3 linked regions of the Saccharomyces cerevisiae S288C genome follow. The protein of the gene in region 3 interacts with the protein of the main gene of each other region in a biochemical or structural test. Each region holds a gene or a part of one and is shown on either strand. Other genes may lie near its edges.

Evidence for each region. Proteins that work in one complex are often made in the same cells at the same time.
Region 1: the proteins of CMK2 (region 3) and TDA10 form a complex in vitro, tested with the Saccharomyces cerevisiae proteins (one large-scale study listed by BioGRID).
Region 2: of the proteins of CMK2 (region 3) and CMR3, one has a biochemical effect on the other in vitro, tested with the Saccharomyces cerevisiae proteins (one large-scale study listed by BioGRID).

Annotation. Positions count from the first base shown.
Region 1 is NC_001139.9:907,225-910,585, reverse strand, and holds TDA10 (putative ATP-dependent kinase), read right to left. Parts: upstream 1,374-3,361; coding exon 501-1,373; downstream 1-500. Other genes in the region: ubiquitin-binding ESCRT-I subunit protein MVB12, read right to left, coding at 1-154; YGR204C-A (uncharacterized protein), read left to right, coding at 1,412-1,525; trifunctional formate-tetrahydrofolate ligase/methenyltetrahydrofolate cyclohydrolase/methylenetetrahydrofolate dehydrogenase ADE3, read right to left, coding at 1,812-3,361. UniProt on the Saccharomyces cerevisiae protein: ATP-dependent kinase whose specificity is not yet known.
Region 2 is NC_001148.4:584,132-587,426, forward strand, and holds CMR3 (Cmr3p), read right to left. Parts: upstream 1,455-3,295; coding exon 501-1,454; downstream 1-500. Other genes in the region: YPR014C (uncharacterized protein), read right to left, coding at 3,058-3,295. UniProt on the Saccharomyces cerevisiae protein: Probable transcription factor involved in the regulation of the transcription of genes involved in cell rescue and defense, as well as cell cycle and DNA processing.
Region 3 is NC_001147.6:294,165-298,030, forward strand, and holds CMK2 (calmodulin-dependent protein kinase CMK2), read right to left. Parts: upstream 1,957-3,866; coding exon 613-1,956; downstream 1-612. Other genes in the region: ESC8 (Esc8p), read left to right, coding at 1-509; IRC10 (Irc10p), read left to right, coding at 2,914-3,866.

The DNA of each region.
Region 1 (3,361 bases), on a different chromosome or scaffold from region 3:
CGTACCAAGGGCATAATAAGTCCCTTGTTGGTTGTAGCGCTGGTAACTTAAATTCAGGCATCTGAAACCTAGTCACTGTTTCTTGTGGAAAATCCTTACCATATTTGTTGTAGAGGGGAATACGCCGTAGGAGTTCTTCAACATTATTGTTCATTTTTTTATGCGATAAGCTCCCATTGCTATTTTCCTTTCCTTTTTAATCTTAATTAATAGCAGTAATTTTTCCAAAACCGCTTAAATCTCGGACAGCCTCTGAACGGTATTTGTATAAGAAGGACAATAAAAGCTCTATAAAAGTTTTATGATGGATATGTAACAGATAAACAATTTTTTTTGCATACGACAATTATTCAAGAGTTGCCTTGTCAAAATTCTGAACCAAAAATACATGAAATCATTATAAAATTATCTGTTAGTACATAAAATAGAAGGGAAAAGTGAGATAAATTAAAAAAAAAAAAAAAAAAAAAAAAGGCGTAAAAAAAAAGGTCATAACATCACTATTCAATACATCTCGTTTTCGTAGAATATACATTCCTGTTGGAGTCGATTCCTAACGTCAATGTAGCAATGGAACCTAAACTTTCACTCCGGACAAAGTCGTTCAAATAAAGTTTATAGGAGGGCATGTATCTATCCACAAAAGCATGCACTTGTTCGTCGGTCATCCCCTTTCCGACCTTTGATATTAGTTCATGCTCCTGTTGTAGTCTCCAGCCATAAACATTGTTAATGTTATCGGTGGTGAATACTATCCCTAAAGATTTGATTTCTGGGTTGCGCCACAACAAGTCGCTATAGAAGAAGAGCTTGGCATTGACATCAACCATGTCCCCAGTAAGAAGATCATTATTCTCAATTCCTTGCAAAATGGGGTTGAACCCGAGGAACCAACCTTCTAAGATAAAAATATCGACTGGTAGCTTGATTTTTTGACCAGTGGGGCAACGGTCCCCTTCTCCTTTAAATTGGGATTTATCGTACTTGGGTAGTACGACAGTATCTTGATCCGGATGTTCATTATTATTGAAGATGGTGTTCAATACCTCTTGCAACAATTTCATATCATGAGTACCTGGTAAACCACGTCCTTGTAACAGCTTATTGTTCTTGAATTGCTCATTGAGTTTCAATTGGTCCTCGTGAGTTAAATAAAAATCATCAATTGAGGCGTAACCGATAGATTTTTCACCCCCATATTTTTCCATCAAATGGTTATAGATTTGGATACTTGTAAAACTTTTGCCTGAGCCTTGTGGGCCCGAGAAGAAAATGAACAAGGGGCATTTATTTCCCGTCTCAAACCATTCAGGTATATATTTATCCAAGAATTCTATCGTGTAGTCCAATACCGTTTTTGACTTATCACACATTTCTAGCTTTACTACTTTTTATATTATTCACTTCAGAGATGCAATGGAACGCTTTTTCCTTTGTGTCTTATGTATATCTTCGTTATTTTATTTCGTTCCGCCCAAATATTGTGCTAGCCAGTGTTCGCTTGTCTTGGTATAGTATCATTTAGATTGCTAAAAGTTTCATACATTTATTGTTCTCATTAATGCGTCTCCCCGCTTCGTTTGGTAATTAGGTTTTCTCCTCCTTAACGGAATCGGAAATTTTCGACGTTAAGGAACTGGGGTTAAATTAAAGGAAAAAGGGTCGCGGAACGTTAAATCCCCTGTGTAAAAAAAACTATAAATCATTATTAGTCCCAATAGTGTTCGTATTATCGTTATTATTATTATACATCCATACTTTAAAAAAACTTTTGCATTTGTCTTTATTAAATTCTATATAATTAAGTTGTCTTAGAACAGGCCATCGATCTCACCGTCATCATCGACTTCCACGGCCATGTAACCAGCATAGGTAGCCAAACCAGGAATGGTTTGTATTTCGGCGGCAAGAGCGTATAAGTATCCAGCACCATTAGACAATCTGACGTCTCTGATGGGGAAAGTGAACCCGGTTGGAACACCTTTCAAAGTTGCATCGTGGGATAAAGAGTATTGTGTCTTGGCGATACAAATTGGCAAGTTACCGAAACCTTGTTCCTTGTACATGTCAATCTTGCGTTGTGCTTCAGGCAAGATATCGATTGCGGCACCACCGTACATCTTTTGAACGATAGTAGTTAATTTGTCTTCAACGGAGGAGTTAACGTCATATAGGAAATGGAAGTCCACTGGTTGGTTGGAAGCTTCGATGACGGCCTTGGCCAAGTCGATAGCACCTTTACCACCTTCGGCCCAATGGTTAGAGGTTACGGCTTCAAATGCACCAGCTTCCAAAGCGGCTTTTCTAATGGCGGCTATTTCACCTTCAGTGTCAGTTTCAAACTTGTTAATTGCGACAACGACGGGGACGCCAAATTGCTTAATGTTGGCAATTTGTTTACACATGTTAGCGGCACCTTTTTCGACAAACTCGATATTCTCTTCAGTGTATGCGGAAGGTAAAGGTTGGCCAGGTTTGACATCTGGAGCACCACCGTGTGACTTCAATGCCCTAACAGTAGCAACCAAGACCACAGCATTAGGTGTCAATCCAGAGGAACGGCACTTGATGTTGAAGAATCTTTCACCACCCATAGTGAAATCGAACCCTGCTTCAGTAACCACATAACCAGCTTCTGTTTTTGCCTCTGGCTCGGTACCAACCAATTTCAAAGCCACGCGATCAGCAATAACAGAAGAGGCACCGATAGAGATGTTGGCAAATGGGCCGGCATGGACCAAGACAGGAGTACCTTCTAAAGTTTGCATCAAGTTGGGCTTGATAGCGTCTCTTAATAAAGCGGTTAAGGCACCGGTACAACCCACATCTTCAACAGTGACTGGAGACCTGTTTACGTCAGCAGCAACAACGACTCTTCCAATACGTTCCTTCATGTCCCTCAAGTCCTTTGAAAGAGCAAGAATAGCCATCAATTCAGAAGCAACGGTGATATCGAATCCAGTAACTCTTGTGTGGTTCTTCTCGGTAGGGGCTTGACCAATGGTGATTTGTCTTAACATTCTGTCGTTGATATCGACCACCCTCTTGATAGTAATAGTGTCCGGGTCAATGTTCAATCTGGCGAATTTGTTGATCTCTTCGGGTGTTAGATCATCGGGGTTGGTCTTTTGAATACCCAGTCTGTTCAATCTTCTTTGCATGGAGGGAGTAAACTTTCTCTTTCCGTTCTTTCTAGGCACTAGTCTGTTGTAGAAGGTAGCGTCGTTCTTTTGAGTGGTCTCATGGAACATTCTAGTGTCAATAGCGGCAGCAAGTAGGTTGTTAGCCGCACCAATGGCGTGAATGTCACCAGTCAAATGTAAGTTGAATTCGTCCATTGGGATGACTTGGGAATAACCAC
Region 2 (3,295 bases), on a different chromosome or scaffold from region 3:
ATTCACTTGGCCTTACTGGCAATCATAATCATTTTGACGAACTGCGGACATCGAGAGTACCCTGCAAATATATCTAGAAAAAGAGGTAAAAAAATATTGAAGGGTCAACCTGAAAAAAATTGAAAAGTGAAAATAGATCTGCTGATAAATAATGCACGGCTTGCATCAAGTGATCACATGGAACTTTCCCAATACCTCAACTACGCATTTTCCCTTGCATATTATATCATCATCCATCTTCTTTGCCTCTCATATATTTACGAAATAATACATAAACATAAAAACGTCTTTGTGCGTCCAAGTAAACTTGAAGACGCACTCCCGTTATATAAAACTGGGAAGAACACTAACAAAGAAGGTGACTTGCGCTTAATTAGTTTTATTCCCTTGCTTCTAAAGTCCGTAAAACATTCTATTAGAGTCTATACATAGTTTTGCCTTACCTTTGAATATGAGTTCTAAAAATTCCATTGCAATAAAGCTTTCCGTTCCTATTGTTTCTATGTAGTGTTTAAGACTTTGTTTCTTTTCCTTTCATGGCTTTTCAAATGTCTCAGCATATTGCTTTTCACATTGAAGGATTTTGTGCAACCCTCCCAAGTACATTTGAAAGGAGTATCTCCCGTATGAATTAAGTAATGTGTCTTCAGCGTTGAGGGCCTCGAACAAATTTTTCCACATACTGGGCACTGCTTTCTCAGCTTTGTGGATGATATTCGGGTGTCAGTTTTCCAATCAGAAAATGTTGCTGAACCGTTCAACACGGCACCAGGTTCGCTTTTTGTTCTGCCGTTACTGGCTTCCTGCATGGTTGGAAGTACGCCATACCCAGGTGGGACTGATTTTGGCCTATCGTGGCATAGCTCTAAGGCAGCGTTTGGGTGACTCGCCATTGATATTGCAGTGAAGTTAGGTTCGGAGGCAATTGTTATTGGTTCTTTGTCGTATGGTGTCAATGGTTTATATACTGTTGGGACCATGACTGGCATCATCAAGGGAGCAGAGGAGGTCAAATGAGGAGACTGGCTATGTGGTATTGGTTGCTGACTTTCCGTATAGTAGATAGGATATTGATCAGATGTTGCGTTCATGGAAATTGGGGTGTAGATCTCATTAACAATGGGTACAACATTCATGCTTTGATAAACTTGCTGTGGAGGGAATTGAACCCTTGAATCTACGTTAGGTGGTGTATTATTTTCAAAATTAGGCAAAAGGGATGAAATTGGTGGTAAGTTTATTTTCGTACTATTATAACATTCCCGTTCATTTTTGTAGCTATTGTGGCCATAAAATTGAGTCCCCTTACCAGTGCTCAGCTGATCAACTGCGGACACTTGAAGGGGGAGGTTCGATTTATAATTGACTGTACACATTCCTATATTAGGAGATCTTGACTTGTCTGTATATGATGATTGTTTTTCTGAACTTTGCTTTGAAAGGGAAAAATTCATGTAATTTACTTTAGTGGCGTTTACTGCTATTTTTCGAAGGTAGGTGATGAACTTGTGTTATAACTAAGAAGCTCAAAACTAAAAGTATACTAATGTTTGAGGAATTATTGTGAAGCCATAGAACAATAAAAAGCTAACAATTGTATCTTTCGTTCAACTTGTCAAACCCTGACAGGCATATAAAAGAGGTATTTTGAAACATCAACATGTAGTAGTCACATATATAGCAAAATAGTAAGTAAGGAAAAAAAGAAGGCACAGAGAATACAACAATAATGATGAAGGCACACGACTGCCCTTTCCGGGCCACCTGCAGATCTGTAAGGTAGTTCAAATGACGTTCTCGCGCGGGTTTCTTACTTATGAAACTTTAGGGACATAAGTCGGGAACCTGATGCATCATTCTTTATCTTGTTTTTTGTTGTTGTTTGAGTTTCTTGTACAGAATAATACGCAGAATTAAAGCGGAAGTTAAAAAACAGATCGTCTTGATCTGCCCTCAAAACCAGTATCCACTGAAAACCTTATTTCCCACCGTAAATGGCAATCACTCGTAGCTCAAGGTGGAATGCTCCCGTAAGGATATTTCCTATATGAGATAGTCCCGATCCTGAGAAGAGGGATCGCCGTCATTTTATTCTTTAACCCCGAGAAACGGCATCTCTCACCTGATTGTTCTCAAGATTGCTGCAAAACCCAGATATACTTTTAGGTACGGAGCGTACGCGATGTATATGGATTGATTTTCACATGTATCGTTTATGAGTACTTGACTGCACCTCGTGTCGGAAGATTTTCCAATCGGGCTTTTTTTCAATCTTGAAGGCCCTCCTTTTCATTTCCATTTGCTCTGACATTGCGGCTATGCATCACAGGCAAAAGCTGAAAAGGAAATTTTGTAGCGTATCGGTTTACTGCACAGTCTCAGACCCTTTGTAGTACTGTTACCTGGAAGAATAGTAGGTGCGTACAACAGTGATTATGTAGTAGTATCTACTGAAGAGCCTACGAGCGAAAAAAAAAAAAATTATCGGCTACATTACGTTGTTTCCTACGGAGACAAGAACCAATATAAGCTGCAAAAAATCTATGAGCATTTTAAGTTTCCGATACAACAAGATGTATGCGTACTATTCACGTCGTGTTATATTGCTCACGTAACAACTTCTATGACAATAATAAAAAATAACCTTTCCATTGTATCATTAAGGTTATCTACGGAGGATTGTCAAACCTAGCGGATATGAAATGTACTTGATTCCTAATTCGGGTTTATTTAGAGTTCAGACTATGTGGGTCATTTCTTATGCTAATAATAGGCACTGAGGTAAGTCAAAATAGCGACACTCAATTACTGTTGAATGGGAAGAAAAAACCGAGAAAGGGATACAGAGATCTTGCCCACGCCTTTTTTTCAAAAAGAGCCCTTCGCAAGGTTGCTCAACGGGATTGTCATAGAAAGAAAAAATCAAAGCCAATAACTACAAGGCCAAAAGTAATGGTAGGGAGCTACTACAAAGTGGGCTCAGCCTACCTGAAGAAAATAAACAATTAATGGACAAGATCTGTTAGCGGACATACAAGAGATCAAATTACCTTCTGGTTAATGCTGTAGGCGAAGCAAACCATTCAATTGAGGAAACCTTATTCCCAATTGCGCTTTTGCTCCCTGGAAGCCTATAACAGCGTGTGGGCAAATAAAGTTGTTTTTCGCCCTCAGCGACTTTACTTCGGAAACTGAAGAGCGGCTAGAAATTTCGCAGAAAAGATTTTCCTTTGAGGATAGAAAAATGAAAAAAAGAAATTTATCTTTTTTCACAACAGGTGCTGCTTTTTCCTCA
Region 3 (3,866 bases):
CGAATTCTTTGAGCAACTTCATTGAGTATTTGGAAAGTTTATCATCACTTACTGAAAATGACACCGATGATACAAAAAAGGGTATAGACAATCTAATTGAGTTTTTGAAAATTTTCAGTATATTCATAAATGAGACTATTCAGCGCATAACTGCTGCCCCTACAGGCAGTACTGAAGGACGTCATTTGCGAACAAGCTCTCAGAGAAGAACCACGGTGCATTACTCGAGTGATGTAAATGGTGACGTTTCCGAGGAAAGTGAAAATGAAGTTGACATTGACGTTAGCGATGACTATGATTCAGAATATCTGAGTGAGGAGAATACATTGACAAGAAAAGGTGAAGATAGGACAGATAAATCTTTTGGGAAAAGAGAATTACACAATGGCGCTAAAGATTGTGATAGGAATTGTGATGATATAGAGATCTTCTCAGAACCCGTTAGGCAACTACAAGATAATTCTCGGGAAAAAAGAAGCTTGAGGCGTAATGCCAGAAAAGGTCTATAGTTTGAATGCCATGAAGTGTAGCTGCTGGTTACATAAAATCGTCACTAGCTTTACACATTAAATATTATATACGAATTTATGTACACGAATTCAAGTCCGTAATTTAGTCTTCTGACTTCGACTCCCGATCATCATGCAGTGTTTTCTTGCTATCGTCTTCCTCTTCACCAGCCAAAACTTTATGTTTATTCTTTGTTGCAGCTTTGACAATTTGAACAAAGGCATCCTTTGTTAATGCAGACTTCAATTTCATTTGCTCTTCTGTTAGTTCTCCCCCTTTCTTCTGAGATTGCAGACGTAAATCATCCAACGAATGTGTGACGCCGTCCAGAAGACTTTCATTGAGGGAATTCTCTTCTATATCGTTATCGCCATCGTCCCCTAATGAATACATATTTCTTAACCTCTTAATTCTATTATTAAGCTTCACAATTTCAATAGCGTCACGTAATTTCTTACGCAAAGAAAACCCTTTCTTAACGTCTGGTAAAATATTACTAGTTTCAACTCTCTTTGAAGTAATCCATGGATCGTCCAGCAATTCCGTAGCAGTTGGTCTGTCAGCTGGATTCAATCTCAATGCCTTCAAGATGAAACGCTTAACATCAATAGATATGTTATCCCAATATGGCATATGGAAGGTTACCGGGTATCTCGAAGCTGTACATTCCTCCATGAATCCTTCAACGCTTTCGGCAATAAAAGGAGAATAACCGCACAGTAAAGTATATGTGATCACACCAATGGACCATATATCACAAGGCTTACCATGTCCATCTTGTGTGAGGACTTCTGGTGCCACATAACCCAACGATCCGGCTGCTTTGTATATCAAATCCTCCTCCCCCTTCAATTGTTTAGCTATACCGAAGTCCGCAATTACCAGAGGCGAATTTTCTGACTTATCAACATACAAAACGTTCTCAGGTTTCAAATCCCTATGAACAACATTCTTGGAATGCATATACTCCACGGCACCAAGAATCTGAACTATGATTTCAACAGCATCCACTTCTGTGAACTTCCCTCTAGACAGAATTCTATCAAATAATTCACCTCCTGTTGCCAGCTGAGTGACAATATAGAACTTATCCTTCGATTCAAACCAATCCTTGAATGACACAATGTTCGGATGACTCAATTTTTGAAGAATGGACAGCTCTTCGTACAGCATCTGTAATTGCACATTGTTTCCCTGCAATGCCTTCTTCAATAAGATCTTTATAGCAACATCTTCATTTGTGGACAACTTTCTGGCTTGTCTCACAACACCGAAGGAACCGGCACCCAGTGTTCGACCGAAAATATAATTAGTCCTGTTGACGTAAGATTCAGGTTGACCGCTTAATTTATTGATAAATTTTGCTACAGGGTGGCCGTTTAGACGCTCTGGATCTTGGACATCTACATGAAATTCAGAATTTATGACCTCTGACTCCTTGGGCATTTTTGGTGTCTATATTTATATTGGCGATGTGATAGAAGAAAAGGTGACGAAAAGATTGATCAACGAATTGAAGTTCTGCTGATCTTGAACAATATCGTATTGTTTTATATTATTAGGATTACCAAGAGAAACAGCAATGGGTGGCTTCAAAGGGGGCAGGGTTCTAAGATAAGCCTCAATTATTCTCTTCGCGCTGCGTTAAAGCGGGCGCTTCTCCGAAAGTACAGCACGTTCTGAAAAGCCTCATCAACATAGAATCCATATGATGCTCAACGACTGGAAGTAAAAACATGAAAATTGAAAAAGAATATGCCTGCAGGAGCATTGGGAAGTACATAGTGGCTTATAGACTGCCAAAAAAAATCAGTACGGAAGCAAATGAACCTTATGTTATCCAGGGAGCGGTGAGTAACTGAGTAAAAACATTAGGCAAATTTCTTCCAAAAAATCATTGACATTGCCTGTCAATTGAGTAAATGAATAAATAAATAAATGCAAAAAAGCCAACCTAACTCTCCTGCAATGATACAATGAGTACTGTATCAACGACCATTAGTAAGTATCATGAAGTGTTTTGTATATTTGGAAAAAACCAGGCTGCATTGCCCCAGTGGTGTATTTATATCTACTGCAGTATGTTCTATTCTGTGAAGTTCCTAAAAGACACCGAGGTTTCTATGGCCTAACCATATTGTTGTTCTAACGCCTTTTCTATGTAAGGGTCCTTATTGTTCAAAGCCCCACCGCTCCTTCGCGCGTTGTGCCTATCATTGTGTCAGTAAATGTTAGGATACGGGAAGTGTATATATTAATTGAGTGGACACAGAAAACGCTCTAGAAAGGAATATCTCACAAAGAACTGTAATATAAGCCTACATTATTGATTTTTTTAGTTCTCTTGCCCTTATATTACCGTAAGTCTGCGGTATAATCACCTGGCCTAGTGCTTTTTCAATCATGTTCATTGAATACTCTAGATTACCAGGCTTCGAAAGCATCAATATATCATTTTCTAGAGGCATGCTAAGATTGGCTAAATTTACTAATTTCGCTACATACAAACAAAAATTAGAGTACTTCAGGCTGTTGGCAGGTTCAAACAAATACATCCAACGAATCAGCGTTGCTGACTTTGAGAGACATCCAGATGAAATCAATTATATTTACATTATACTAATATCCATTCTCCAAATGGAAGAGTGTATGCCAGTCCTAGTTCTATGTCCAACTGTTTATTGGGTACGATTCCACTGGCCTGGAAAATGTTCCGTGAACAGTTTGAACTTTACGAATGAAACGTTAAAAAGCGCTTTCCATGCTGTCTTCACTCCCTATTTTGCACTAATGAAAAAAGTTCTTGGAAGGATTAAAAACAACATGTTGCTATTTGCAGAACCTCATGCAAATTTAAATAATTTGTTTGTCAAGCATTTCCACGATCTCATATATAAGAGCGTAAAGGATGAAAAAACCGGCGAGGCAATTCTGTATTTGAGAACTAACGTTAATGTTCCAAATGTTTTTATTGACGATAAAAGAGCAGTTTTTCATGGTGACGGTATGAAAATTGGAAAATTTACCGGCAAATTTTTATGCTTTTCCTTCAAACGAACAATAAGATGGTCAAAATTAGATTCAGTGGATTCTTTTGCGGTTACGACAGTAAATTATAGAGTATCTGTAAATTGGGAAAAGACACCAAGAAAGACTTTCCTTTCTCTAGACAGTGACACCAAAAATTTACACTATATATCGAAAAAGATATTGAATAAAAAGGGAAAGAACGCCACTACATCAAAAACAACAAAAAGTTCATGCACAAGTGAGAACGTTTGCGATGATAAAACATTCTCCGTCGAATTCCCACTTACAACGTCAGCAAAAACTGAATATTTGTTGAGAAGTAATTT